7 linked regions of the Macaca fascicularis genome follow. The protein of the gene in region 2 interacts with the protein of the main gene of each other region in a biochemical or structural test. Links are inferred from orthologs where the notes say so. Each region holds a gene or a part of one and is shown on either strand. Other genes may lie near its edges. The genes, in order: F11R, CASK, ATP2B4, SDC2, CFTR, PRKN and FCHSD2.

Region 1 (4,115 bases), on a different chromosome or scaffold from region 2:
TCATTGTGTATAGAGTGCCTACTATGAGATAAAAGATGTAGGAGGGGCCAGGTGCAGTGGCTCACTCCTGTAATCTCAGTACTTTGGGAGGCAGAGGCAGGCGGATCACCTAAGTTCAAGACCAGCCTGACCAACATGGTGAAACCTCGTCTCTACTAAAAATACAAAATTAGCTAGGTATGGTGGCGCATGCCTGTAATCCCAGGATGGATTACAAGAGCGAAACTCCATCTCAAAAATGAATGAATGAATGAATGAGGGCTGGGTATAGTGGAGAAGGCAGACGGGAAGAAAAGGACGTGAGAGAAAGGCAAGGAATACAGGAAATGCGTGAAAGAAGTTCTTCAGAGGCATGAAAACTCAGAAACCTGGATTCATTTCTGACTCAATCTTCTCTTCCACAGATTAAGGAATACATTTTCCAAAAATCAAACTTAAGAGGTAAAAACTCTGCCACAAAAATATTTAAAATGTATTGTGCATCAAACTATACACTATATTAGAGGGAAGTCATATACCTACTGTGTAGTGTTGAATTTTGTTTCAGTAAGCATGCATAATTTCATCTTTTTAACCAATTAAATTTTGGTTTTTTTGAGACCGAGTCTGTCTCTGTCACCCAGGCTGGAGTGCAGTGGCATGATCTCGGCTCACTGCAACCTCCACCTCCTGGGTTCAGCCAATTCTCCTGCCTCAGCCTCCCAAGTAGCTGAGACTACAGGTGTGCACTACCACACCCGGACACTTTTTTTATTTTTGGTAGAGATGGGGTTTCACCATGTTGGGCAGGCTGGTCTTGAACTCCTGACCTCAGGTGATCTGCCACCTCGACCTCCTAAAGTGCTGGGATTACAGGCCTTAGCCACTGCGCCTGGTCAACCAATTAAATTTGTTAAATCCAGTATAAGAGATCAGTGTTGATAAAAACCGAAACCTGGTTTTGGTGGCACAGGAAAGGCTCCTCACGCCTGTAATCTGTGCATGACACATCGGTAGGGATGAAGGGTGCTATCCATTCCCTCACCCAAAGGCCTGGGATTGCCCTTTCACCTCCTTAATCCATGGACAAAGCAGCCATAGACAATAACCAAAGTTCACAGCAGCCAGCCAGTTGGGGCCATACTTTGCTGACCTCTAAAGCAGTGGTACCTGCTTCTAGCTGCATATAAGAATCACCCCAGGGGCCCATAAAGCCACTAATGCTCCGGCTCCACCCTCCATATTCTGAATTAAAAAATAAAACAAACAAAAAAAACTTGCTGATTCTGATGTGCATTCTGGGTTGAAAACAGCTATTCTAGAAGTACTGTACATTGTAGCCTCTCAGGAAACTGCTAGAATTTTGCATGTGGGGAGTGCTAGGGGAAGCAGATGAATGCTGAGAAATGATGATCCAGGACTGAATTGAGGTCTAGATAAAGATTAGAACTGTTTTCAGTCCACCTGACACATTAAGTGCTTCCAATACTTTGATTAAATGTTCTTTATTTGATGCTTTTGTGTGCACAACACTATAAGGAGTTGCCCAACTCACCAAGTCAGCCCCTTCACACCCTTAGTTAAGATGGCCATTAAGGGGCCAGGGGGTGGCAATCAGTAAGCCGCCTCCTGCCTAACCCTCTTTCTCCAACCATTCTCTATAGGCCCCAGCATAGTTGCGAGCCCTGTGGAGATAAAGAAGGGTGAGAGACGGACAGGAATGACAGGTAGTCCCCATCACCTCCCAGCTAGCAGCCATACCTCCCCGTACCCAGTGTATCCAAGACTCCGGGCCAGTTGCATGGCCTGGAGGCCCCGCTTGCCCATCTGACAGAAGAAAACGAGATGCTCATCTTCCAGCTTTGGCTTCTCAGCAGAGTACAAAGCCTGGAAGGCAGCTGGCTCCATCTGCAGAGCACTCTCCAACTCGGACACTGGAGGAGTGGAGAGGGTAGAAGGGAAAGCCGGCAGTTTGGCACTCAGGTTCGGAAGCTGGGCCTGGAAAGGCTGGGTCCTGGGGGCCCCCAAACAACATATGATAGCCATCCCCTACCCCCACCCCAATTTCAAGAACCAGAAACCAACGACTTTTGAATGCGAGCCACTCCCCAAGCTGTGAGGAGGCGGGGCGGGATGCTCCCTCAGGCGTCCAGACTTGGGGAGGTCAAGAGAAGCTGGTCTGCCCCTCTCCTCTCCACCTGCTGTCTTCTCAAACTGGATGGGCCAGTTCCGATGCCAGGATCCGCCTCCTATCAGTCCTTCCCAGGAAGCTGAAGGCTGGCTCCCGGGAATGCAGGACCCCCATAATCAGTGCCTTCCCCATTCCATCCTAAATGAGGTCCCACTGGCAAAGACCCTCCTGAACGGCTCTATTCCACCACCTGGGCGTCCCCTCTCCACCCTTTACCCGGGATGTTGAGCGCCCCTGGGATGGTCCCAGCTGCCGCCTCCTCCCGAGAGCGCACGTCGAAGAGTCGGGCCCGGCCGGAGGCTAGGAGTGAACGGAGTTCAGGGAGCGAGACCGTGGGCGCTGAGGAAGGGGCGCGACAGCCTTCAGGAGAAGGGGCCTAGGAGTCATGGCCGCCACGGTATCCCCTCACCTGGCAGCGCCCCTCCCTGGTAGGGTATGCACCAAGACCCCTCAACCACGCCCCTTCGCTCCCCCACCCCACCCCCTGCCACACCTCAACTCAAGGGGCCAAGAGGACCGCGGTCCCAGGCATCCCCCGCAGGTACCTCCAGCCATGGTGCGCGCAGCAACTGCGAGTCTCCGGAGTGCGGCCCCGGCCCCCCCCCTCGTAGCCTGCAGCATCTCCCACTCGCTCCCGGAGCTGAGACCGGATCCGGAAGCGAGGGCACCGCCTCCCGCACCGCCCCCGCAGCACCTGTTCACGGCGTCTCTAGCACCAGTCTACTGCAGAAGCCCTTAACATTCTCTAGCGTGGGCCAAAAACGACAGACCGGTCTGGCCCAGGAACCAGGTCTCCGGGTAATAAGTGCAGGAGCAGCACCCCACCCTGAACTTAGCACAGCCCTTACTGGTCAAAGAGCAATGCCCCTCCCTTCCAGCCTGTGGCCCCACAAAAGGAAGAAAAACAGACAACTGTGGCTTTGAACAATTTTATCCTAAAAAAAAAAAAAAAAAAAAAAAAAAGGAAAAGGAAAGAAAAAAAAAAAAAAAGACCCCCATAAGGGGGAAGGCCCCAAGTGGACCCCTGCCTGTTGTTCTCTCTGGCTTCAGAGACGTCTGCATAGGCCTCAGCTTCTCGCTGGCCAATCTCCTCTTCATGGGCACCAGCCACTGCTAAACACCCTTCCCCCACTTCTTGTGTAAGCTTGCTCCCCTGAGCCACAGGGTGCACCTCTAAACCTCAGCTCCAGGGAAAGGAAGAACCAATGGAAGTGCCAGAGTCCTGGGGCAAGCCAGAGCATCACCTGTCAGCAGACCTCTGCTGGGCACTCTAAGCAAGTACAGGACAAGCCCCCCAGTTTAGTGTGTCCAGTATCCAGCATGGAGGCAGCACATGCATTGTGCAAGAGGAGCACAAGGGCCCAGGGGTTGCATGGTGGGGGTGGGCAAGGCTGTCAGTGCACCTCCACATTGTGTGTTTCACACCACTGCAGGCTGCCATATCACAGGGCCTCAGTTCAAGGACACACCTTCTGAACTTCCCCCTGTCCCATGCCAGAAGTGGGCAGTGAAGGAAAGGGGCACAGGATTAGGCTGTTGCTCCTGGGCTATCTGCAGTTCTTGGGCCCAAAGCCCCTGAATCCCCATAGTTAGTTGCTGTCATTCTTGATGACGACCTCTAATCCGTGGTGCCGCAACTGAGCTCGAAGCAGCAGATTCTTGTTTTTAAGATCTTCCACCTGACAAGGGAAGGAGGCAGTAAAGGAATGGGTAGTAAAGTTGGCACTACCAAGCCCCTGAATGTATTCAGACATCCACTGGTAAGGGGAAAAGATGAAGCCCTCTCCATGGAGAACAAAGTAGAGGGTGTCAAACTGGGTCAGTGGCTAGCAGAGCTGAGAAGGGCTGCACTGGGGGTAGGAGTCTGACCTGTTGTCGAAGCACGTCATTGTCCAGCTGCAGTTGGTCAAGCCCCTGCAGTTCTTCAGACAAGCGGTGGTTACTC
Region 2 (4,231 bases):
ATTCTGACCATTTCTTTTTGATATCCAAAGAGATCACATCATCGCCCTTCCAGACCTTAAGGAATCAGAACTGGTTACCAAAACTGATTCAGTGATGGCTATTTTCCATCTTCACAATATAATTAACATTTTAATCTCACATTTTCCAATTATGACTTTGTTAGTTCATTTACATCAGCTATAACTAAGATGCAACAAACGTAATTCACCCACACATACGGTCATTTGGAGGCTCTTGGGAAACACCTAATTTATCTTCACTGGGTGCTGCTAAGAATGAGGAAACCAAGGAGATTTTTGATACATTTTTCTCTCTAGAACTGTGCTATTCACATGTGGCTACTAGGCACCTGAAACGTGGCTGGTCCGACTGGGAAACTGAATTTTGAATTTTATTTAATTTTAATTAATTAAAATTTAAATTTAGAAAAACGTACTTGATTCAGTTATTGGAAAACTTTTATGTATATTGGGTATGTATATTGGGTAACTTGGGTATGTGAATCTACTTTTGTAAATGCACATTTTATGAAACCTAAATACAGATTAAGTATTTCTGATTTTTATCAGAAATGTAGCTTAGTGTCAGAATTGAGATGTGCTGTTAGTGTAAAATACACATTGGGATTTCAAAGACTTAGCATAAAAGATGTAAAATACTTCACTAATATTTTTTCATACTGATTACATGTTTAAGTGTTAAGTTTGGATCTACAGGGTTAAATAAAATATTTTAGTAAAATTAATTGCACCTGTATATTTTTATTAAATGTGGCTACTAGAAAATTTTAAATTACAAATGTGGCTCATAATATATCTTTTGGACAGTGCTGTTCTAGAACACTTCACAACCACTTTAACAGGACACATTTGGATACTTTCCTTTTAACAGTCTGGCTGGTCATGTAACAATAGGGCAAGGAGTAACATGTCCTCATATCAATTGGGTCTGAGTAAAGTGTGTAGCAAGCTCTACCCACAATTTCACCATGTGAGGCAACACTGTAATACCTCAATATGGAAAGAAAAGGAAACAAATTAGCACTCAAATTGAAATCGTGTACTGCAGACAACTTAAAAGAGATAGGGCCAACTGCTCTAAGGTCTTGGTTTCATTTCCCAACTGTGGACCTTAAAATAGACAATAAAGCACCGCTTCCAAAAAAAAAAAAAAAAAAAAAAAAAAAAAGAGGTAAGATATTTCAATGGTAGCTCTAGCGATCCTTATTAAGCAAAAATTTGCTCTTAAATCTTATCTCCTCAACTTCTAAAGCCACAGAATACACGCCGTGTTAGGAAATCAACTTCAGATTGCCAGCATTTCCTTCACAAGCAAATTAGCAGGATTGTGCACTTGGAATACTGTTTGACAAGAATGAAAAGGAAACTATTCAAAATAGATTTAAGGAATGGACAATTAGATGAGGAACTGCAGATTTAATTCTCAATCAGCACTGTGATTAATCTGATTCCCTGCTTTTCCCCAGCGTAATTATACAACACAGATGAAAGGATGAGCATTTGGACTGTCAGTTCTATATTCTAGACCAGCCCGGTGACTCAAAGCAGACGGCTCTACCACGCTAACCACCATCCCAACAACAGTCGAGGGGAGCCTCGAGCACTGATTGAACAGTCATTGCATAACGAAGCATTAAAAATTCGAATGCCCCCAACTCTTTCCACGTTCATGTACACCAGGAGGGAATGTGCTGAAACTGAACGCACCCGGTCTTAAATGATCCCCTCCAATCCGGGCATGGGGTGTACACAAAGGCATCTGTCTAATATCCCGCACAATAGACACACACCCCACAATTAAAACCCTGGACTCACTCTCTCTCTCTTACCACACAAGCAAAGGAAATGCAAGCTGCTCTTTTCAAAAATGGTCTATGGCACATGCAAGGTAACAAAAACCCCAACTGAAGCAACTATAAAATCGGCTGTGCCACGTCCCTGTGCAACCGTCAGATAAAATGCAGGCAGCCGGCCCCACGCCTTACGGGGTGGCCAGCCTCGGCTCGGTGGCCTCAATGGACCGCTGAGAACCCCCAGGCCCCCGCCTGGCAGGAGCTCCAGGTACACGTCTATAAATACTCCAAGATGAGAAGGACGAGAGGGGAAGAGGGGAAGAGGGGAAGGAGAGAGGGCAGGGGGCAGGCCCGGAGCGGGTGCGGGAAGACCGGGGCATCACTGAAATGCATTTTTCCACACTCCCGCTCCCTCGCGTGGAGACTCACTTTCCGATCACCTCGCACAGCTCGTACACATCCTCGAACAGCACGTCGTCGTCGGCCATGGTCCGGAGGGGATAGCGGCCGCAGCGTGGAGGGCTTCGAAAACGGGGGTGGGGGCGCCCAAGAGCTCAGTGCCCAGCCCCGGGATCGCCTCCTCCCCTCAGGACCCGCGAGCCCTCGGTGCCGAGGACGCTCGAGTGGTGCCGCGAGGCCCAGAGACTGCGGCGCCTTCCTCTGCAGGCGACCGCCCCGGCGCGGGCGGCGGGGCCGGGGCGTGGGAGCGAGGGCGGCCCGGGCCCGGCGCCGCCCGCCCGCCCGCTGCTCCTCGCGCTGCTCGGGCCGCGCTGCCCGGCGTGCGGATCCTCGGGGACCGCGCGGCGTCGCGCTCTCCGCTAGTCAGCCCGCGCGGGCCGCGAGGCCGCGACCGCTCCCTCTGTCCGAGGCCGGCTCCGTCGCGTCGCGGAGCAGCTCGGGCTATAGAGGGGGCCGCGGCAGGACCATGGAGGGAGGATCGCCGCGGAGGGAGGTGGCGGCGGCGGATCGGCGCTGGGGACCAGGAGGCGGTGGCAGAGACGCTCCCTCCTACTTCTCCTCCTCCCGCAGCCGCCACCGCCCGCCCGGGAGTGGGAGGGGGCTTCGCGGGACTGGCGCTCTGTGCGGGCGGGAGCCGCGGCCGCCGCCTTCTGCTCCGCCCCTCCGCCTCAGCAGCCGACCGGCTAGCCAGCCCCGCGCACCCGCCTCGCGCAGACACGCCCTCCTCCCCCGTCGGCGGCGCGGCTTCCAGAACCACAGACTCCGCCCACTCTAGCCCGTCGGGAGGCGGTGGCCCAGGGTAAGGGGAGCGGGCTGAGCGGCGCATGCGCGCGGCGCGGGCCGCGTCACGGCAAACGGGCGGGCACCGGGATTCTAGAGGGCGCGGGGGGTTGAGCGGGGCGCGCCGGCTGCAGCTGCCGAGGCGGGGCTGGTTGGGGTCGTCGCCTCCGCGCCTAGCGGCGACCAAGCCGCGAAAGGGGCTGGAGACAAAAGGTCCACGGCTGTACGCTCGTTGTCCCGCAAGAGGCTCGAAACTCTGGCCGCTCCCCTTTCCTTCTTTTGTAATCGCAGGGAGCCTTTCCCAGCTTTTTGCTGGGAAAAGAGGCAGGGATAGGGTGCTAATGAATGAGAAAGCTAAAAGAGAGGTGGAGAGAGGTTGTCACTGAATCCGTGCTTGGCAGCGGATGCTTTTAGTGCTACCCTGTCATTCCTTAATGAAGATGAGGGCTGGGGGCAAGGGGAGGTCGTCCGAGAAAAGGACTAAACAAAAACTGCCTAGGAAGGTGTGCGACAGCAAACGGTCATCTATAGAGACAGCTTCTCCCACGTTCTGCCCCAAACTCAACAAATACCTATCCAGCGCCTACCCTCACTAGAGACCAACCTAGAGAGAAGCCAGGAAGACAGGGACAAACCGCGACTTTAAGCTCCTTTGTATATTGCCCTCAAACTCCCAGCACCTACTCTGCTCTGTATACTCCCTATACATGTTAGACTTGTCAGGAACAAAATGCAACTAGAGGCAGTGCAGGCACAGGAGCAGCCAGGGAGTGAGGTTCTGGGTGTTGCCGCTGTGCTAGGTTGCATTCAATATGAAGATTTCTGTTCAACTGAGCATGTGCGGAATGAGCCAACGCCATCAGACAGGTATATGCCTCAGTTGAAGACCAATAGAGTCTTTGTTCCTCCGCATAGCAAAAGTGCCCAATTAGTTCATAAGTCAGTTTCCAGAAATCGTATGGTAAATTTCTCAGTGTGGTAATTTTTTTAAAAAAGTATTTATTAATACCAAAGTGGAGGGGGTGATGTGGAGACTCACAGCCTATTTTCTCTTCAGAAACGTTTCGTGCAAACCCTTGACCACTCCCTCAAAAGGCTGAGAGATTTGCCTGCTAAGGATTTGGGTACTAAACCTTTAAAAAAAAAAAAAAAAAAAAAAAAAAAAAAAAAAAAAAGCA
Region 3 (4,144 bases), on a different chromosome or scaffold from region 2:
TGGGTCTAATTCACAACTCTGTTTCTCCATGTGCGTGTGGCTCTGCTTCTTGGGGGCAGGGATGACAGCAAAGAAGGACAGGGGTGGTGTGAGGTGTTGGGTTAGAATGATAGGATCAAAGAGGCCTTTTCCCAACCCTCTGTTTAAAAGGTTGGGAAGTAGTGGCCAGTCACCTTCTTCACAGCATAGCTCATAGCTATAACCTGTGAGATATATGTCAACACGCCTTCCACAAGCATATAAACATGAGTGTGTTTGCTGAGGTAGGTGTGGGAATCTGTCAGTCAATGAAGATATGTTGTTGTGTGAACTAGCTGATGGTGCATGTTTGTGCTTGAAAGCCATAAAGTTCTATGCAAAATCTATGGGTGGCACTGTTGCACAATGCTAGTGGGTGTGTGGGTATGGGGGTGTGATTAACAGTTTACAGGCTGTGTATAAGTGTGCAGGGATGTCTGAGTGTGTCCAAATTAAAACAGAAATGTGTGCCAGAGTATGATACAAGTACAGGAAAGTACTTGGGCTTTGGAGTCCGTCTGACTTGGCCTTGAATTGTTGGCTCTGTCATGAACCAGATGTATAACCTTGGGCCAGACACTCAATCTTCAATTTCCTCAGCTAGGAAATGAGGCTAATAACAAGTACCTTTCAAAATTGCCATAAGGACTAGAAATGATATCGTATAGACAAAGCTTTTGGTGTCATAGCCTACGCATAGCAGGACTCAAAAGTAGGCAGCTATTTTCATGCACTGTCAGTATACCTCTGGTGGGTACAGGGGCAAGAGGGAACAAAATGTGACCTGTATATAAGGTGTCGGGGAGGAGGTGTGTGTGTGTGTGTGTGTGTGTGTGTGTGTGTGTGTGTGTGTTTACAAAACAATTTATTCTCCTTCTCCAAGGAACCCCCTATTCAGACAGGAGCAGGAAGGTGGGAGGGGACATACAAGTGTCCACAGACACCTTGGGTTTCTGGGTCCTGGATCTAAGTGAGTAAGGGGTTGAGAGGCCCATGGGAGCTGCAGGAAGCCAACCGCCTGCCGAAGCTTCCTTTTTTTTCCCCTCCGCCCAGCAACCGTTGAATACCGCCACCCACATCCACTCCCCACCTCCACCCTCACCCCTCCTCCACCCCACTCAGCTTTCTATTCAACAAGTGAGAGCAAGGGTGGAGAAGAAAGCCGACAGGGGAGAGGATTCCTTCCCTTTCTTTCCCCATTCCCCCTTAAGACGAACCAGGAAGCAACCGCAGGAATCGGGCCACCTTAACAGTAGAGTAATGGTTTGGCCTCATGCCAAGTCCCACCTCTGTTCCAGCTCCTGCTCCTCCCCTCTCTCTTCCCGCACTGCTTGGGGAGAGCTGGTGAGCAGGAGTCTGGCCCGAGTTAGCTAGAGCTGTTGCCATGACAAGCATTTTCTTAAGAAAGCTCTGCTGTTGAGATTGTCCAACGCTGGGGGCTGGGAGGGGGGCACGAACTTCCTGGGCAACCATCCCTCTGAAGAGAGCAAGATCAGAGACACCCGTCCAGCTCTCCTGCACCCTTTTTCTTTCAGGAACCTGAGAGGTCCTTCCCATTGGAAGGGCAGGGGGAGGAGACCCAGCCCACTCCCCGGCCTTAGCCGGAAAGGCAAGAGAGCAAAGCCAGCGTCTCCAGCTTGGTTGCCACACTGGGGAGACTGGTGGGTGGTCACTCCACCCTACCCCCATCCATGGAAACCCGGAGGGAGAGTCCCACTTGGAGAAACCTGGATCTTTGCTAGAAAGAGAGGTAGGCTTGCAGAGAATGAATTGACTTGTGATTTGCAAACTTTGTTTCTTTCTTTTCTCTCAGTGGCTTCTAAAACTCCCCGATTTTCCTCTTTCTAGCATATTTCATGCGACTGGGTTTGGAGGATTTTTAAAAATATGTGTGTGTGCACAGATTTGTCAAATACTGTTTTCTGAGAAACTGTATAGTCAAATAAGTGATTTATCTCTCTTTTTTTAGTTCTTGTCATTCCTGTGCTATGGGGTAGGGGAATGGAGGGACTCTCTTTTTGACACCAAAATTGAACTCTTGGAAAAAACATTTATCTCCCCTCCCTCAACCCATTCCATTCCTGCCCTCCCCTTCCCCCTTGGCTTGGGAATGAGACGCAGGATGGAAAACTGTTGCAAAAATATTTTCCGTGTCTGTTCCCTTTCTCAAAAGCCCAAAAGAGAGATGGGAAAAAAAAAAAAAAAGGAACTAAAGAAATCTTCGGCAGGAAAGGGGGGCTGCAGCGGGAACTAGGAGAGGGGCACTTTGGGGCCATGGGGTAGAGGTGGGCTGGGAGAAGTTGGGAGGAGTGGGGGAAGGAGAGTGCACAAATTAAATTTCTTTAGCTTTGCAGAGAAACCTAAGCAGTTTCTCTGTGTTGCTTGCAAAACATCCTCAGACTTTCACATCTATAATTAGCTGTGGAAAAAGCTGGGAGTTCCCTCGTACCGCTGTTGTTTGAGAGTGTGTGAGCGTCCAGAACCAACTGTATGAGTGTCTCCGAGGGCACCGCCCCACACATCTCTGGTCCCAAAGGGGAGGAAGGAGAAGGGTGAATTGAAAAGTTTCCGATTTCAAGGCTGGAGACTGTGGGGCTGGTGAGTGTTTGGCAGACGGGGTGGGCCACAGGCATCTGTGGAAGGGTCCCTGAGCATCTTGGGTCATTTCCTTGGTTTGCTGAAGAGCTAGGAATTAAGAATGGGATTGTCCTTCCTGCTCTCCTTTCTCTCTTTCTCTTACGTACTTGGTTCGCTCTTGGTAGAGGGGGCTGCTGGCATCCTTCCCCGAGTCACGTCTGGCCTCATACACTCCTCCACCTCCCTGAGGGTACCCGCCGCTCTTCTCCAACTGGGTGTGGAGGGTGCAGGAGTGGCCAGCCACATCTTGGGAGGGGAGTGGGCACTCTGCTGGCCAGAGGCACCTCCCTCCTGGGCATTCCTGCCGGACTTACAATAACTTGCAGACATGATGCCGGCGCCTGCTGGCCGGGCAGGGGGAATGTCAGATGAAGCAATAGGCCGGCATTCAACTGAGGCCCCTGTGGGGAGGGGAAAGGAGTTGGGGAGGGAAGGGAAACAAAATCCCATTCTGTAGTGCTCCCTCCTCTGGGTGAGGAGTCTGGCAGGGAGTCTAGAGACCCTCGCCCTGCTCCTTAAGCCCCTCCCCAAGCTGCCCTTTCTCCAGGGCTTCTCATTGGAGGCCCTCCTGTGCCCCCTTCACTCTGGGCCCTCTACCTGGAGGAAGGAGACCAAGCTTATTCCAGGCTGGGCCAGGCCCAGGAAAGGAGCCTGGGGGTGAGGAGGGGCTGGGCCAGGAGCGTTTAGGAAGAAGGGGACGGAAAGAGGCCTCCTAGCCCATGAGCTGAGTTACCCTCCTTGGCTGAGGGTGGTGGCTTGGGGAGCAGACTCCGGGAGGGGCAGGAAGGATGGTGGCAGCTTGGTAAGCCGTGTTCTGGAAGGTGGGCCCTAAACCCTGAAGCAGACAGATCTGTGGGAATCAGGCTGGGGGAGAGGAAACACCTGCCTTCAGCCCCAGGGCTTGGAGGAGTGGTAAAGGCTACAGCTGAGAAACTGGGGGAGAAGGAAGCAAAACACTTAGAGGAGAGCTCATCTCGGGGCTGAGGAAGCAACAGGAACCGATTTTCATTTTGAGGTGTTAATTGATCTGACTGCACCCCATTGGCTAGACTCTTCCCTACCTGTATTCTGGTCGGTAAGGGAATGAGGCCTTCCCCAGTGGGCAGGGGCCCCAAGACAGAGAATCAATGCCGGTGTTCTGGAGGGAGGGGATCCATTTCTTTGCTCCTCCTCGGGAGTCCCATCCTCCCTGCCACCATCTTGCTGAGGTGCAACCCCGAAAATCACGCCGCTTCCGCCGCGGCCTCCCGTCGTGGGGGCCCAGAGTGTCACTATTCCTGCAGCCGGCCTTCCTATTTTCAGTAATCTGATTAGGGGTAGATGTTGACGGGCTCAGGGACTGTTTCTCCGTGAGGTCGTTATTTAGCGCGCACCGGGTTGCCTGCTCCCGCGGCTTTGAGCCTGGGGTCGCTGCCAAAGCGGGGAATCGGCTCCCGCAGTCTCAGCCCTTCCCCCGGGGCTCGGGGCGGGATCGACTGCGCAACCCCGC
Region 4 (3,500 bases), on a different chromosome or scaffold from region 2:
AGCAGGGAGAGAAGGAACATGCAAGTGAAAGAACTGCTGCTTGAGTGTTGAGGATAATCATATTAAGGAAAAACTTGCTAGGCTACCCACAGACACCTTTGAAATCACTTCTTCATCGTGGTGAAGACCACAGGAAGCTTTGTGCTGAAGTCTTAAGGAGCCAGCATTTTGAAAGAACGTGATTCTGTCAGTGTCAACCTCAGGCAATAGTGCCTGATAATGGAGACATCTGTGTCATATTCGCCATACTCAGTTCATCTTCACTTACTTTTCCAGGAGCTGATGAGGATGTAGAGAGTCCAGAGCTGACAACATCTCGACCACTTCCAAAGATACCGTTCACTAGTGCTGCTCCAAACGTGGAAACCACGACGCTGAATATACAGAACAAGATACCTGCTCAGACGAAGGTGTGTTCCATTTTCCATTGCATTGCATTAACAGGTTATTATAAATGCTCCACTTTACTGACTGTACACACAGTCCCTTTTTTATTATTTTCTTCTTTTTTGGAGCTGCCCATCATGAACTATGTACACAACAGTTCTTTTAAAAGGCCCCACTTAAAATTGTATAAGGACAAATGGTCTTAATGGTGGTGTTATAAATGGCTCTTCCTTACGCTTTTTGATCACTTTGGCATTTACCCACGTATGATTTCTGTCATCCTGGCTCAAATTATATACAACTATTTTTCACATGGCCCTCCTTCTTAAGGAACATCTGAAGCCCAGTTAAGAAGTAAAGCCCTGTTTCTTTGGTTTCCTGGTTTGTAGGTACGTAATTAGAAGACTCCAGGTCACATCTTGAGATGGTCCTAGTCTCACTAAGTCATTTCTCAGTCTTCTTAGGCCTGTCATCAGTAGTATGTAATCCTTGACCTCTCTCGATGTTGATGAACCTGGGTACATCTGTATATATTCATTTTGAGAGCTGACTTATTCAGAATAAGAACTTTGGCGTTAGACCTGAGTAAAGTGACCAGCTAATGAAAACTTGGAGCTTGTGATTTTGACCTTGTTAATATTGTAGTTAGCTGACCATCCACTAATAGGTAACCCACTGAAGTTAGAACATGCATATTAAAGTCTGGCAAAGACCTACGTTTCAAATCCTGGGTCCAGTCATGTTTCTTAGCTTCTGAACCCATTTCCTGTGGGCTGTGAAGAAGATGAAATGCGAGTGCAGGTAGCATGGCACCTGAGACATAGTCACCATTCTGTAAGCATTAACTGAATTTGGTGGAGCAGAAGAGACCAAGCCAGTTCACCAAATGAGCATGTGTAATAACTGTAGTGGTAGACTTCGCAGTCAGTGCAGGGGTAACAGACGGCTTATGAAAACTCAGAAGCACAAGCATCCCCTTTTGGAGCTCACCCATCTGTTGATTAGAAATGAGATGCTGCCAAGCTTTAGCAGCAGACAGGATATGGATATGGAAGGCTGTTTGATGAAGGTGGCGACAGGCCTTCCTTAGAGTAAGAATCATCCCCTCTTCAGGCAGGAATGCATGTGGGCTTTTCTTACCCTTGCCCCAGAGTACCTTTGTTCTTCCTCCTCTTCCTCCATCCTCCCAGTGCATGTGACTGGAATGGTGAATGACACAGCTGGACAGGTCTCCACAAATGTGGAACAGCCAGGAAGCCAGCCCTGTCCAAATTGAAGTACTCTCTGTAGGACCAAGAAGAGTCAATTACTGTTAGTGGTAGACTTCACAGGCCAGGCGGTAGGAAGGCAGGGAGAGAGCCCTATGAGAACTGAGAGCGACTCACCTGGCATATGCTGGATCCCTGCATAGAAGCTACTGTATCAATGTATAGTTGAGTGAATGAAACAAAAAAAGAAAGGGAGAAATGAAAAGTGTAGGTGCAGTTGGTGTTAGGATGACTGAATGCCTCAGAGTGTGTGTGGCACAGTTATCTGCTATCTACTAAATATGCATTTGGCTCTTACCACATTTTTATTTGACCACTTCTCTTGACTAAATCTGTTGAAGTCAGAGACAATTAGGACTCACTAGCTTGAGGGAAGACACTCTCCTGGGTGAGTTTTGGCTTGTAGTGATAGAGAGTTGTATCCTAAGCAAGACTTAATTTGACATAGAGTTCTGGTTTGTTAACAAGAATGAATTGACCACTAATTTAAGTTTTTAAAAATTGGTTTTAAGAAAGTAATTGCATCAGATCGAGATAAAAAATATAGAACTTTGGCAGGTGAACTTAAAAATTAAGGAGCCCAAACTATTTTAATACTTTTATATTCTTACTATCATTTGTGTTCTATGTAGTAATAATAAAAATTCATCCATTTATGGAAGATTTATTGAGTGCTATCATTATGTGTCGAACACTGTTCACAGCACTGATAATGATAATATTGATCATGAATAACATGAATAATGATGATTAAATTTTTCATTTTGGTCTTTATGTGGTACAGCCGAATTGAACATTGCCTCTAGGATACCATTAGTGTAGATTTTGCTTTTGAATCGGTCTCACAGTGGCATTAATGTCACTGTTACAGATATCCTCTCTAGTTTGTTATAAATTTAAGTGACTAAAATGCAAAAAAAGCCATCTCATTATTTGTTTGAGCAGAGCATCACTCATAAGCTTTTACTTCTGTTCCATTTCCATGGCATCCAAACAACCAGACATGGATGTGGCAGATCTTTACTTGGCCTCATTTAATCATCCCTGCTGCCTTTTTGCAGATTGATTTTGCACATATATTCATACAAGAGTTAAGGTATTTCAGATTAGTTCCATATTACAAAATGGTTTCTTCTTAGTCAAGCCTCTGCCTCTATACGATAAAACATTTCGACTTGAAAAATGAATTTTCCACCCAGAGCTGCTTGAGGCTTGTGCACTTCCAGCTGCAGGGCGGCTCCAGTTATGTGGAGTCCTTCAGTCCCCATACTCTCAGATCCCTGGATTGCACGCTTTGTTCAGCCTGCCGGATCAGAAGCTGAGTCAGAGGAAACTGAAAAGATCAACTCTCTTAAATGACTTTAGGGACCCAAAAATCCCATGGTGAAACCATATGATTTGTAATAACAATGGAACAAAGATGATGTGGATATGGATAAATTAAACTCAGTCTCTCATATTACAGTGACTGCTTATGTCCATTTCATTTCTCACCAGAACTTGTTTACCTCTCTCCTTAGTCACAAACCTGAGTATTCACCTATTTGATATTTCTCTTCCCTTTTCTAACCTGTGATAGTAAAGCAGTACTAATGAGCAGTGAAAAGGTTTCTAGACTAGAACCCAGATAATCCATTCTCTGATCTGTTGTCCGTCCTTCCACCAGGCAGCCAATTAATGATGGGCTTTTCATGAGAAGAATAGAAAAAAATCAGGAAAAATACTGCCAATGTGCTGCTCTCTTCTGCTTTACTTTGGTACCCGAAGGCCTGGGAAGGCCTATCATAATTTTCTTCTCTCATAGTAATAGAGAGGACCGTGACCTTTTCAGTGCATATTGTGCAC
Region 5 (3,974 bases), on a different chromosome or scaffold from region 2:
TGGGGAAGTGGATGGAGTGAGTTCAGTCACATGTCTGGGAAAAGTCAATAGTGAAGACAGTCTCAATTTTTGTCATACTGGAGAGTGAAAACACAGGTAGAGGATTTCAAACAACAGGGTGGATGGTGAGTTAAAAGTGCTAAAGTTCTTTCCTGGTGTCTAACTTAATGCAATGTGGTTTATCTCTTTGCCCTTTTCTCTACTATTCAAATTTAGGATAATAAAGATTAAATGTTTCTAAATCTTACTTTACAATATTCAAGAAAAAAGGTATGCTTTTGTCCACTGAAGTGCAAAGCAGAGCTATGAAAACCTGCTGAACACATTCTTTATTTTCAACACATGTTCTTGTCTTTCCATCATGAAATGCATGTTTTATTTGTACTGTAGTTGGGTGACCACAAGTTAACAATAAGATCATTCACAAGACCCTTGCCTTAGATGTGTTGACAATGAAGTAATCAGGCCAAAATTTTTACTTTCCTTTGAATTTTTCAATTCAAACACAATGTGTGCTTGCTTTTACACAATAGGGTTCAGGGATTAGAGGGTTGGCTCTTTAAATACCGTCAGAGACACAGGCAATCCTACACCAAGTGCTCAGAAGGAAGGCGCCTACGCCTGGGAATGTCCAGTTGCCCTTGGAGAGTTGAAGATGGCGTTTCTCTGAGTCAGGTCAAAGTTAACACATTACCTTCGCTTCAAAGACTGCTTGGATTCCTTTCGGTGGATTAGTCAAGATGTTTTGCTGACTGAGACTAGGAAATCTATAGGAGGGCGGGTTAGTTTACATTGTTGCTTGTCATTGTCGCTAAAACACTCCAAAGCCCTCCTTAAAAATGCACACTGGACTAAAAACGACAGACAAGGAACAAATCCTGGGCTGGTAATTAGGCGAAGCACTATCTCCTCTTACCTCCTTGTAGATTTTTTTTCCCCCTTTAAGTACGTGTCCTCAGATTTCTTTGTCATCCTTGGAGTTCACTCACCTAAGCCTGAAACTAATAAAGCTTGCTGCTTTTCTCCAACACGCAGAGGAAGCGCTAAGGTGAATGCATCAGACCCACACTGCCGCGGAACTTTTCGGCTCTCTAAGGCTGTATTTTGATACACGAAAGGCACATTTTCCTTCCCTTTTCAAAATGCACCTTGCAAACGTAACAGGAACCCAGCTAGGATCATCGGAAAAAGGAGGAAGAGGAGGAAGGCAGGCTCGGGGGAAGCTGGTGGCAGCGAGTGCTGGGTCTGGCGGACCCTGCCGCGAAGGACGGTCCAGGAGGCTCTCCGGGGAGCCAGTTCTGCCGGTGGCTTCTTCTGTCCTCCAGCGTTGCCAACCGCACCTAAAGAGCGGCCGCGACTGTCGCCCACCTGCGGGATGGGCCTGGTGCTGGGCGGTAAGGACACGGACCTGGAAGGAGCGCGCGCGAGGGAGGGAGGCTGGGAGTCAGAATCAGAAAAGGGAGGTGCGGGGCGGCGAGGGAGCGAAGGAGGAGAGGAGGAAGGAGCGGCCGGGGTGCTGCCGGGGGTGCGTAGTGGGTGGAGAAAGCCGCTAGAGCAAATTTGGGGCCGGACCAGGCAGCACTCGGCTTTTAACCTGGGCAGTGAAGGCGGGGGAAGGAGCAAAAGGAAGGGGTGGTGTGTGGAGTAGGGGTGGGTGGGGGGAGTTGGAAGCAAATGACATCACAGCAGGTCAGAGAAAAAGGGTTGAGCGGCAGGCACCCAGAGTAATAGGTCCTTTGGCATTAGGAGCTTGAGCCCAGTCGGCCCTAGCGGGGACCCCAGCGCCCGAGAGACCATGCAGAGGTCGCCTCTGGAAAAGGCCAACGTTGTCTCCAAACTTTTTTTCAGGTGAGAGGGTGGCCAACCGAGCTTTGGAAAGACACGTGCCCACGAAAGATTAGGGCGTGTGTATGGGCTGGATTTGGGGAAAAGAAATAAGCAGTTTTTAAAAAGATGCGCTATCATTCATTGTTTTGAAAGAAAATGTGGGTATTGTGGAATAAAACAGAAAGCGTTAAGAAGAGATTGAAGAATGAATTGAAGCTGATTGAATAGACAGCCACATCTACTTGCAACTGAAAAGTTAGAATCTCAAGACCCAAGTATGCTACTATGCAGTTATTTTATTTGATTTTTCTAAGAAACTAAAAAAACTTGTTAATAATAAATACTTAAGTGTGGTTTATTGGTTTTCCCCCTTCATGCCTTGGACACTTGATTATCTTCTTGGCACATACAGGTGCCATGCCTGCATATAGTAGGTGCTCAGAAAACATTTCTTGACTGAATTCTGCCAAAAAAATTTTTGGGGTAGGTAGAAAATATGTGCTTAAAATATTTATTGTTATGAGACTGGATAAATCTAGTATTTGTCACAAGTACATTGTTCTTTAAAAATTGAAAGCAAATTTGTTGAAATATTTATTTTGAAAAAAGTTAACTTTACAAGCTATAAATTTTAAAAGCCATAGAAATAGATACTGAAGTTATATCCAACTGACATTTAATAAATTGTATTCCTAGCCTAATGTGATGAGCCATAGAAGCTTGCAAACTTTGAGCCATAGAAGCTTGCAAACTTTATCTAATGAGATTTTGAAAAACAGCGTCTAAGTTCGGAATCTTAGGCAAAGTGTTATTAGATGTAGCACTTCATATTTGAAGTGTTCTTTGGATATTGCATCTACTTTGTTCCTGTTATACCTGTGTGAATGAATGAGTAGGTACTTCTCTCTCGTGGGATATTACTTGACTCATAATTACCCAATGAATAAGCATACTGAGGTATCAAAAAAGTGAAATATGTTATAAATAGCTCATATAAGTGTGTAGGGGGGAAGAGATTTAGCTTTCACATTTCTGTTATGTTTAGTTCTCTGCATGTGCAGCTAATCCTGGAACTCCGGTGCTAAGGAGAGACTGTGGCCCTTGAAGGAGAGCTCCTCCCGGTGGATGAGAGAGAAGGACTTTACTCTTTGGAATTACCTTTTTGTATTGATGTTATAGCACCTTTTGTTACTTCTTCCATAAAATCGGCTTATCTATTGATCTGTTTTCCTACTTCTTATAAAATCAGAATGTTAATTGGCATAAATTATAGACCTTTTTAGCAGAGAACTTTGAGGAAGCTAAATGCCAATCAGTCTAAAAATGCAGTTTTCAGAAGAATTAATATTCCATGGATAGTTCTAAATACTAATGAACTTTAAAATAGCTTACTATTGATCTGTCAAAGTGGGTTTTTATATAATTTTCTTTTTACAAATCACCTGACACATTTAATATAGGTTAAAAAATGCTATCAGGCTGGTTTGCAAAGAAAATGTATTACAAAGGCTACTAAGTGTGTTAAGAGCATACTCATTTCTGTTCTCCAAAATACTTCATAAGTTGCTCCAAGAATAGGTATGTTTTTAAAAGTTAAGTTCCTACTATTTATAGGAACTGACAATCACCTAAAATACCAATGATTACAAACTTCCTTCTGGCCTTCTGGACTGCAATTCTTGTAAAAAACATATTTTTTGCATTAAGTTAGGCAGTATTGCTTAGTTTTCAAAAGTGGTAGATTTTGGAGTCAGATTATTTCGATTCAGATCCTACATCTACTGTTTAGTAGCTGTGTTGCCTGAGGCAGGTCCCTTAACATCTCTGTGTGTGACTTGACCTTTAAAATTTGGAGACTGTCATAGGGGTTAATCCCTTGAGAAAATGAATGTGAAGGGTTAGCCCAATGTTAACTGCTATTATTATGGATTACCATATTTTTACATTCATTACAGTACATGTACCTTGTTAATATAAGATGTTCAATTCATCTTTGAGTATAATTTTGTGACTCTTAATCTGGATATGCAATGAGTGGGCCTGGATGAGAATTTAATTTATGAAAAATTGTGTTTCACATGGCCTTACCAGATATACAGGAAACACATCATATGTTTCTATCATAGGTTGTTAAATGCCTTAGAATT
Region 6 (3,500 bases), on a different chromosome or scaffold from region 2:
TGGAGCACTGAGTATCCTTTAGTAGGGCTTGTTTTTCTCTAGAGGTGTCAATGTCAGAATGATCTTCTACATACTCTGGTTGAAACATCAGAATTGTGAGGAGCTTGGGTTTGATATTTATATTAATTTATCATATCCTGGATCACAAGGGCATTGCAGGGGTTTAGATTTATTTCATTTTTCCCCATTTTTGACATTTGTTTCCATTTCTCAGTTTTTCTTTCCAGACCTGAGGTGCCCAGCTCACATGAAGCAGAGCCTCTTTCCCTCCCACAGTCATCTCAAGATCACCAGAGCATCAGCTAATGCCTTACTTTCTGGGTTTATCTACTCCTGTATTTAAAGATGTTGCTTCTACATTTTCACTTGTCCTTGAAAATTATCTTTTTTTTTATTTTTTGCAAGCTCATTGAAAATTTTTAATTCCTTAAATTTTATTTAGTAATTTTAGTGGGAGGCATTTCTTATTACGTCAGGCTTCCATCTTGCAGGTCCCAGAACTTTCTGACACTGTGAAGGCCATACCAGCCCACAACTGCCAGGATCTATTGTATGTGGGAGGAAAATCAACTTCTACCCTGTAAAGTCATTGTGATTATTTTGTGTATTCTGTCAGACACAGTAAAAATTAATTCTATTACACCTTTGACTATTTAGAGAATAAAAGACTAAGAGACACATATTAATATTTTAAAAATAACTAAACAATAACCATCTTTTCCAAAGAAAAGCATTTTGAAATGGGTGGTAGAACAGAGAAGGAAGAATCCTTTCACACTAAGGATGTCATTGCCATTGGAATATGTGGCTTGAGAAACTACAAATGGCTCGATTAGCTTTCAAAATCTTTCTACTTTTTAGAATTTTTCTACATCACTAGAAACATATCTCTTCTATTTAATCTCAATGTGAAAACCTGTTTCATAGTACTTATAATAAGTGCATTCTCAAATTTTACATCAAAGTACTCCACCTACAGTGATGTCTCCTTGGAGTGAATTACAGACTCAAATCCAAAACGTATCGACACTAAATATGCACCTGGTGAGGCCATGCTCCATGGAGACTGCACTAAACAAACAAACAGAATGCTCTAATACTCTTAGGGCATTCCAATTACCTGGACTGCCAGCTGGTGGTGAGTCATTCCTGCTGTCAGTGTGCAGAATGACAGCCAGTCCCACAGAGTCTCCTGGGAGGACTGAGCTGCTGAGGTCCACCCGAGTCAAGCTCTGGGGCTCCCGCTCACAGCCTCCCGCCGTGTTTCTGGCGTTGTCGCCTCCAGTTGCATTCATTTCTTGACCTTTTCTCCGTGGTCTCTGAACAATGTGAACGATGCTCTGCTGATCCAGGTCACAGTTCTGTTTGGGAGCAAGGTGGAAAAAAAACAAGGAAATGGCAAACATGAAATGCCAGATAGAGTTTAACTTGTCCTCAGTGTTAGAAGGGAAGGGAAAGTGACATGTAATTGACCAGCTTAGGCACATGTTTGGCCACAGCACTTACACACTACACATGGTAGACAAACAACACTGAACTGGGGCCAGAAACAGAAATTTGGGGATACGTGAAACACAACAGAACGCTGAAGTCATATTCAAAAGGACATGAAATCTACCAGGAAAAAAAAAATTACCAAAGTGGATCTATAAGCACAGTGAAAACAATAATTCTTTTTTTATTTTTTCCCCGAGATGGAGTCTCACTCTGTCATCCAGGCTGGAGTGCAGTGGTGCCATCTCAGCTCATTGCAACCTCCACCTCCCGGGTTCAAGCAATTCTTCTGCCTCAGCCTCCCGAGTAGCTGGGATTACAGGCGGGTGCCACCACGCCTGGCTACTAAAAATATTCTTAAATAATAAAACTGATTGACATCAGAATTGATATGTCATTCTTTTCTTTTTTATAAAAGTACAGAAAGTTATTATCAATTAGAGGGCATTTCCGTACAGCATTGGAAATGAATGTGTTTGAGTAGACTCCACACACACCCCTCCACGGGCACCAGAACACACATCGTTACACCAGTGGGGAAGCAAGGCAGGAGCACACTCCTGCCACCCACGGTTCATTCTCTCTCGGTCGATTTAACTATGAAAATCAGCAAACATTTACAAAAAGGTTTTGCATCTATATATTGACACGTAGGAACAGAAGAAGACTTTAACATTTTCTAGCATAAAAATTAAAAGTCAGATTATTTGCCAGGACAAGAACTAGGCTACCCTAAATGGAATTCTAGTTTCAGAATATCTACTACATAGGGCCGCCCGCGGTGGCTCAGGCCTCTAATCCCGCACTTTGAGAGGCCGAGGTGAGTGGATCGCCTGAGGTCAGGAGTTCGAGAAGAGCTTGACCAACGTGGTGAAATCCCGTCTCTACTGCAAATACATTAGCCGGGCGTGGTGCTGTGTGCCTGTAGTCCCAGCTACTTAGGAGGCTGAGGCAGGAGAATCACTTGAATGCCCACCCCCATCCCCCCACCAAAAAAAAAAAAAAAAAAAGAATATCTACTACATAGAAGCAGTTACTGATCTGCTTGCTACCCTCTTAAGACACAGCAAGGACCTTACTCTCTCAGCAAATCGATGTGGCCGGGCACAGTGGCTGACGCCTGTAATCCCTGCACTTCAGGAGGCTGAGGTGGGCGGATCACTTGAGGCCAGAAGTTTGTGACCAGCCAGGGAAACATGGTGAAACCTCGTCTCTACCAAAAATACAAAAAAATTAGCCAGCTCTGGTGGCATGGGCCTGTAATCCCAGCTACTTAGGAGGCTGAAGCAACATAATTGCTTGAGCCTGGGAGGCGGAGGTTGCAGCGAGCCGAGATCATGCCACTGCACTCCAGCCTGGGCAACAGAGCAAGACTCCATCTCAAAAAATATAAAGCAAAATAAAATAAAAATTAAAATGAATCAATGCCTTTCAAATACCTCTTGCCATTCTCATTTTAGGAATGCTCCCAGGACACTCAAATGAAATGCATCCATAACTAACAGCAGTAAATGATGCCCTCCCCTGCTGCTTTCTCAAGCTCTTCTGTTGCCTTCACCATCAATGTCCCTCGAACAGTGATGCCCAGCACTCACCAACAATCTGACCACAAATACAACGGCTGGAGTCTGGCTCCTCCATCCAGTACGGCACCAGGACACCCTTTGTCCTTAAATCCCATTCAGACCTCTTCTCTACTCTCACACCCTGGGGCTCCATCTCATCCCCAGGCCCTGTGCCCCTCCCGATCCCCATTCTCAGAGCTCCCAGCCTCTCCCCAGGACTGTTCCTACTCAGCAGGGGCCACTGTTCATCATTCTCTGACTTGAAGTCCTCCCCTGCATGATTTCCCTGGTTCTGTCAGGAAAAACCATCCCCCACATCACCCACTTCGAGCCTTCCCCTTCCACCTGAAAGTCTCATTATCCTCCCATGTTTTGTAATGGGCTGCAAGAGAATCACTATCTTGAATTTCACCTACCTAATCTTTGATATCGGCAAGGCAC
Region 7 (3,500 bases), on a different chromosome or scaffold from region 2:
CCTGTAATCCCAGCACTTTGGGAGGCCAGGGTGGGCGGATCGCAAGGTCAGGAGTTCGAGACCAGCCTGACCAACATGGTGAAACCCCATCTCTACTAAAAATACAAAAAATTAGCCAGGCATGGTAGCATTCACCTGTATTCCCAGCTACTTGGGAGGCTGAGGCAGGAGAATTGCTTGAACCCAGGAGGAGGTTGCAGTGAGCCGAGATGGCACCACTGCACTCCAGCCTGGGCAAACTGTGAGACTCTGTCTCAAAAAAAAAAAAAAAAAAAGAACAAAAGGAGGAGCAGCTTACTCATCATGAGTAGTCTGGGAAAACATATGCGCTCAGTCTCAAATCCAAAGTAATCATAACTACTATCTATCTATCTATTTATTTGTAATCCCTTCAGTAACCCTATGAGGAAGATATTATCAAGCACCCCATTCATTCAAGAAACAGTGCTTGAGCACTTTCCGTGTATCAGTGCTGTGGGCTTTTCTAGGCTCTGGGATATAGCATTGATCAAAATAGACAAAAATCTCTGCCCTCATGGAGCTTATATTCTAATAGAAAAAAAGAAAACTGAAGTTCAAAGGTATCTTACAGTCACTTGCCCATAAAAACATACTGAAGCCGGACTTAAACCCACAGTAATCTGAGTCTGCTCATCAGATAGGAAAGAGGGAACAGAGCCTGCTGGATGGAAGAACACTTGATAAAAGCACAGAGGCAAGGAAGAACATGATATGCTCAGAGAATAGGAATAGTGTGCAGGGGCCAAAGTGTCTAGAGGCCCACTTTGGCCCACAGGGACCAAACTGCAGGGTCGTGATTGCCACACAAAGAACTTCCACCTTGTTAGGTGGAAGAATTGGTCATCACTGCTTTAGGATGGGATGATCAAGCTAGTGTCTGCTTACATTGGACAACTAGTGCTGCAGTGTTGAAAAACTTGCACGGACCTCCATGGCTTTTTTTTTTTTTTTTTTTTTTTTTTTTTTTTGAGACAGGGTCTTGCTCTGTTGCCCAGGCTAGAGTGCAGTGGTGTGATCTTGGCTCACTGCAACCTCTGCCTCCCTGATTCAAGTGATCCTCCCACCTCAGCCTCCCAAATAGCTGGGATTACAGGTGCGTGCCACAACACCCACCTAGTTTTTTGTATTTTTCATAGAGACAGCGTTTTTCCATGTTGCCCAGGCCGGTCTCAAACTCCTGGCCTCAAGTGATCCACCCACCTTGGCCTCCCAAAGTGCTGGGATTACAGGCGTGAGCCACCTCACTCAGCCTCTCCATAGGTTTTTATAAGGGCAGCAGTTTATTTGAAAGTGTACTACCTCCCTGGTTTGCTATCACATACATTAACGTCTGGTTGTGTTGATACTTTCTAGGTCTTGCCATGGAAAACATTTTTATTACAAAAGTGCCTTTTGCTGGCATATCCAAGGCATAGTGTAGTTTCAGAGTAGTGAAGGAATTCCATTGGAAAAGCTATCAAGGGTAAATGAGTGGGGTTTTTTCCTTATGTTTTGAGATAAGAGTTAATTTAAAATCTGGCCTTCGAGTATTCTGTGACTGGTCAGCCATCCTCAATATAATTTTTCTGTCTCAGGGAGCTATGGCAACATCCAGAATCTGGATTTTGATGAAATGTTTTAATGTTCATAAAATGGGAAATTGATCTTGAAAATGACCCCCTTTTTTGCCTTATTTTTGTGTAACTTGGAGTTAATTTTACACTTTGAGATTTTGAGATTTTAAAAACTTTATGGTTTTAAGTGATGGTTCTAACCCATCTTGGGACTTGAGAAAAGCTTTTAAGACTGTTTTCTAGAGAGCCAGAAGACAGCAGGCCCCTGCCTATTACACGTGACAGGCAAGGCTGTTAGGAAGCAAAGCCACATGGACTTTCCAGCCCCTCTGTGGAGCCTCAGAGCATTTACAGATTTGGCAGTCTCAAGGGCAACATGTGGATGGCTGATGCTGGTGGACTGCTATTGTCAGGGATAAAAAAGAAAACCATTATGGTTAGCAGCTTGTGCAGTAGCACGCAAGTGGATCAGCTCAGTCTCCACACCGTTAAGTTGGAACATAAGAAATCCAAACCATGACTGATCTCAATCATTTCCTTTCCTACAATTTTCTTCTTTTAGCCACTGCTTTACAGTGTTTCCAGATCAATCCTAGGCACTGCACCCACTGTCATCAAATTCATGTACATAGTTCTTTGCATTTTCACTGCATGCTTGTCCATGGGAGCCCTCTGGTAGCAGTTCCAACTCAGTGCCTTCTCCTTTGCTTTTGCTTCCCAAATCATCACACTTCTGTGCTTATTCATCCCACATTGACTCACATCCTCCAGAAAATGGCAGGATTGTCATTTCAAAGAAATGGAGGCATCAAGTTGAATAACTTGATACAGAAGCTGGAGTTGGAACCCAGGTCCTCTACTTCCAGGAAGTGCTCTCTTTTTTTGTTTGTTCGTTTTTTTAGAGACAGGGTCTCGCTCTGTTGCCCAGGCTGGAGTGCAGTGGCATGCTCATGGCTCACTGCAGCCTCAACCTCCCAGGCTCAAGCGATCCTCCCACCTCAGCCTCCCGAGTAGCTGTGACTACAGGCACATTCCACCATGTCTGACTAATTTTATTTATTTATTTATTTATTTATTTATTTATTTATTTATTTATTGGTAGAGATGGGGATCTTGCTGTGTTGCCCAGGCTCACATGTTCTGTTCATTGAACCTCATTGCCTCTTGAGGATTCAGTTTCTTCGGTTTTTGTTACGGTTTTATTCTGTTTAGTTTTTTAAAGTAAAACTTCACCTCATTATGAAAGTTTTACAGCATTTAAATTTTTATGTTCAACATGTTTCTCAATATCATTTCAATATTTTGATCCCCAGTTTTTGTCATGATCAGCCCACATCTGCTCCTTATCTAACCTTTTTAATTTTGTCCATGACCATCCTACATTGCAGGCTTCTCAACCAGATGAGTTGACCATTGAGGAACATGAGGTGTTAGAAGTGATTGAAGATGGAGATATGGAAGACTGGGTAAAGGTATATTCCTTTGCTCATATCGCCCCTTCTTGTGACATTTTTAGGAGTTCGTTTTGGTCTTTGTTGTACCCTGTCTAAATTGTGTGTGTGTAAACTTGTTTTGTCACATGTCTTTTACCCAGGCTCGAAATAAAGTTGGCCAAGTGGGTTATGTGCCAGAAAAGTACCTACAGTTTCCCACCTCAAACAGCCTCCTGAGCATGCTGCAGTCCCTGGCCACTTTGGACAGTCGGTCACACACGTCCAGCAATTCCACGGAAGCAGAACTCGTTTCAGGCAGCCTCAACGGAGATGCCAGTGGTAAAGACTGAAACAAGGCACTCTTTATTTGGTCACATTTGACCTAAACTGTATTGCCCTGGAGTAAGCCTTCACTAGGATAAAAAGCACAACTTTCCCCCTGTCCTATAATATGCTCTTCTTTATATGGTCACATTTGTCCTGCACAGTAGAA

What was found.
Region 1: the proteins of CASK (region 2) and F11R form a complex in vitro, tested with the Homo sapiens proteins (2 studies listed by BioGRID and IntAct, with this or other methods). The link is inferred for Macaca fascicularis from reciprocal best matches to the Homo sapiens genes CASK and F11R.
Region 3: the proteins of CASK (region 2) and ATP2B4 form a complex in vitro, tested with the Homo sapiens proteins (2 studies listed by BioGRID and IntAct, with this or other methods). The link is inferred for Macaca fascicularis from reciprocal best matches to the Homo sapiens genes CASK and ATP2B4.
Region 4: the proteins of CASK (region 2) and SDC2 form a complex in vitro, tested with the Homo sapiens proteins (2 studies listed by BioGRID and IntAct, with this or other methods). The link is inferred for Macaca fascicularis from reciprocal best matches to the Homo sapiens genes CASK and SDC2.
Region 5: the proteins of CASK (region 2) and CFTR interact in a test that uses a peptide from one of them, tested with the Homo sapiens proteins (2 studies listed by IntAct, with this or other methods). The link is inferred for Macaca fascicularis from reciprocal best matches to the Homo sapiens genes CASK and CFTR.
Region 6: the proteins of CASK (region 2) and PRKN form a complex in vitro, tested with the Homo sapiens proteins (2 studies listed by BioGRID and IntAct, with this or other methods). The link is inferred for Macaca fascicularis from reciprocal best matches to the Homo sapiens genes CASK and PRKN.
Region 7: the proteins of CASK (region 2) and FCHSD2 form a complex in vitro, tested with the Homo sapiens proteins (2 studies listed by BioGRID and IntAct, with this or other methods). The link is inferred for Macaca fascicularis from reciprocal best matches to the Homo sapiens genes CASK and FCHSD2.

Annotation. Positions count from the first base shown.
Region 1 is NC_088375.1:100,036,717-100,040,831, reverse strand, and holds the start of F11R (junctional adhesion molecule A), read right to left. Parts: upstream 2,801-4,115; 5' UTR 2,792-2,800; coding exon of another isoform or gene 2,716-2,791; intron 2,510-2,715; coding exon of another isoform or gene 2,387-2,509; intron 1,914-2,386; coding exon of another isoform or gene 1,751-1,913; intron 1,665-1,750; coding exon of another isoform or gene 1,613-1,664; exon of another isoform or gene 1,469-1,612; intron 1-1,468. Other genes in the region: TSTD1 (thiosulfate:glutathione sulfurtransferase), read right to left, coding at 1,613-1,664, 1,751-1,913, 2,387-2,509, 2,716-2,791; USF1 (upstream stimulatory factor 1), read right to left, coding at 3,760-3,849, 4,040-4,115. UniProt on the Homo sapiens protein: Seems to play a role in epithelial tight junction formation. Appears early in primordial forms of cell junctions and recruits PARD3.
Region 2 is NC_088395.1:41,941,292-41,945,522, forward strand, and holds the start of CASK (peripheral plasma membrane protein CASK), read right to left. Parts: upstream 2,801-4,231; 5' UTR 2,303-2,800; coding exon 2,244-2,302; intron 1-2,243. UniProt on the Homo sapiens protein: Multidomain scaffolding Mg(2+)-independent protein kinase that catalyzes the phosphotransfer from ATP to proteins such as NRXN1, and plays a role in synaptic transmembrane protein anchoring and ion channel trafficking.
Region 3 is NC_088375.1:61,454,026-61,458,169, forward strand, and holds the start of ATP2B4 (plasma membrane calcium-transporting ATPase 4), read left to right. Parts: upstream 1-1,344; 5' UTR 1,345-1,768; intron 1,769-2,471; exon of another isoform or gene 2,472-2,616; intron 2,617-4,144. UniProt on the Homo sapiens protein: Calcium/calmodulin-regulated and magnesium-dependent enzyme that catalyzes the hydrolysis of ATP coupled with the transport of calcium out of the cell. By regulating sperm cell calcium homeostasis, may play a role in sperm motility.
Region 4 is NC_088382.1:106,270,548-106,274,047, forward strand, and holds part of SDC2 (syndecan-2), read left to right. Parts: intron 1-276; coding exon 277-410; intron 411-3,500. UniProt on the Homo sapiens protein: Cell surface proteoglycan which regulates dendritic arbor morphogenesis.
Region 5 is NC_088377.1:158,928,661-158,932,634, forward strand, and holds the start of CFTR (cystic fibrosis transmembrane conductance regulator), read left to right. Parts: upstream 1-1,174; 5' UTR 1,175-1,394; intron 1,395-1,724; exon of another isoform or gene 1,725-1,746; 5' UTR 1,747-1,795; coding exon 1,796-1,848; intron 1,849-3,974. UniProt on the Homo sapiens protein: Epithelial ion channel that plays an important role in the regulation of epithelial ion and water transport and fluid homeostasis. Mediates the transport of chloride ions across the cell membrane.
Region 6 is NC_088378.1:8,862,521-8,866,020, reverse strand, and holds part of PRKN (E3 ubiquitin-protein ligase parkin), read right to left. Parts: intron 1,362-3,500; coding exon 1,121-1,361; intron 1-1,120. UniProt on the Homo sapiens protein: Functions within a multiprotein E3 ubiquitin ligase complex, catalyzing the covalent attachment of ubiquitin moieties onto substrate proteins. Substrates include SYT11 and VDAC1.
Region 7 is NC_088388.1:71,646,070-71,649,569, reverse strand, and holds part of FCHSD2 (F-BAR and double SH3 domains protein 2), read left to right. Parts: intron 1-2,962; coding exon 2,963-3,046; intron 3,047-3,168; coding exon 3,169-3,346; intron 3,347-3,500. UniProt on the Homo sapiens protein: Adapter protein that plays a role in endocytosis via clathrin-coated pits. Contributes to the internalization of cell surface receptors, such as integrin ITGB1 and transferrin receptor.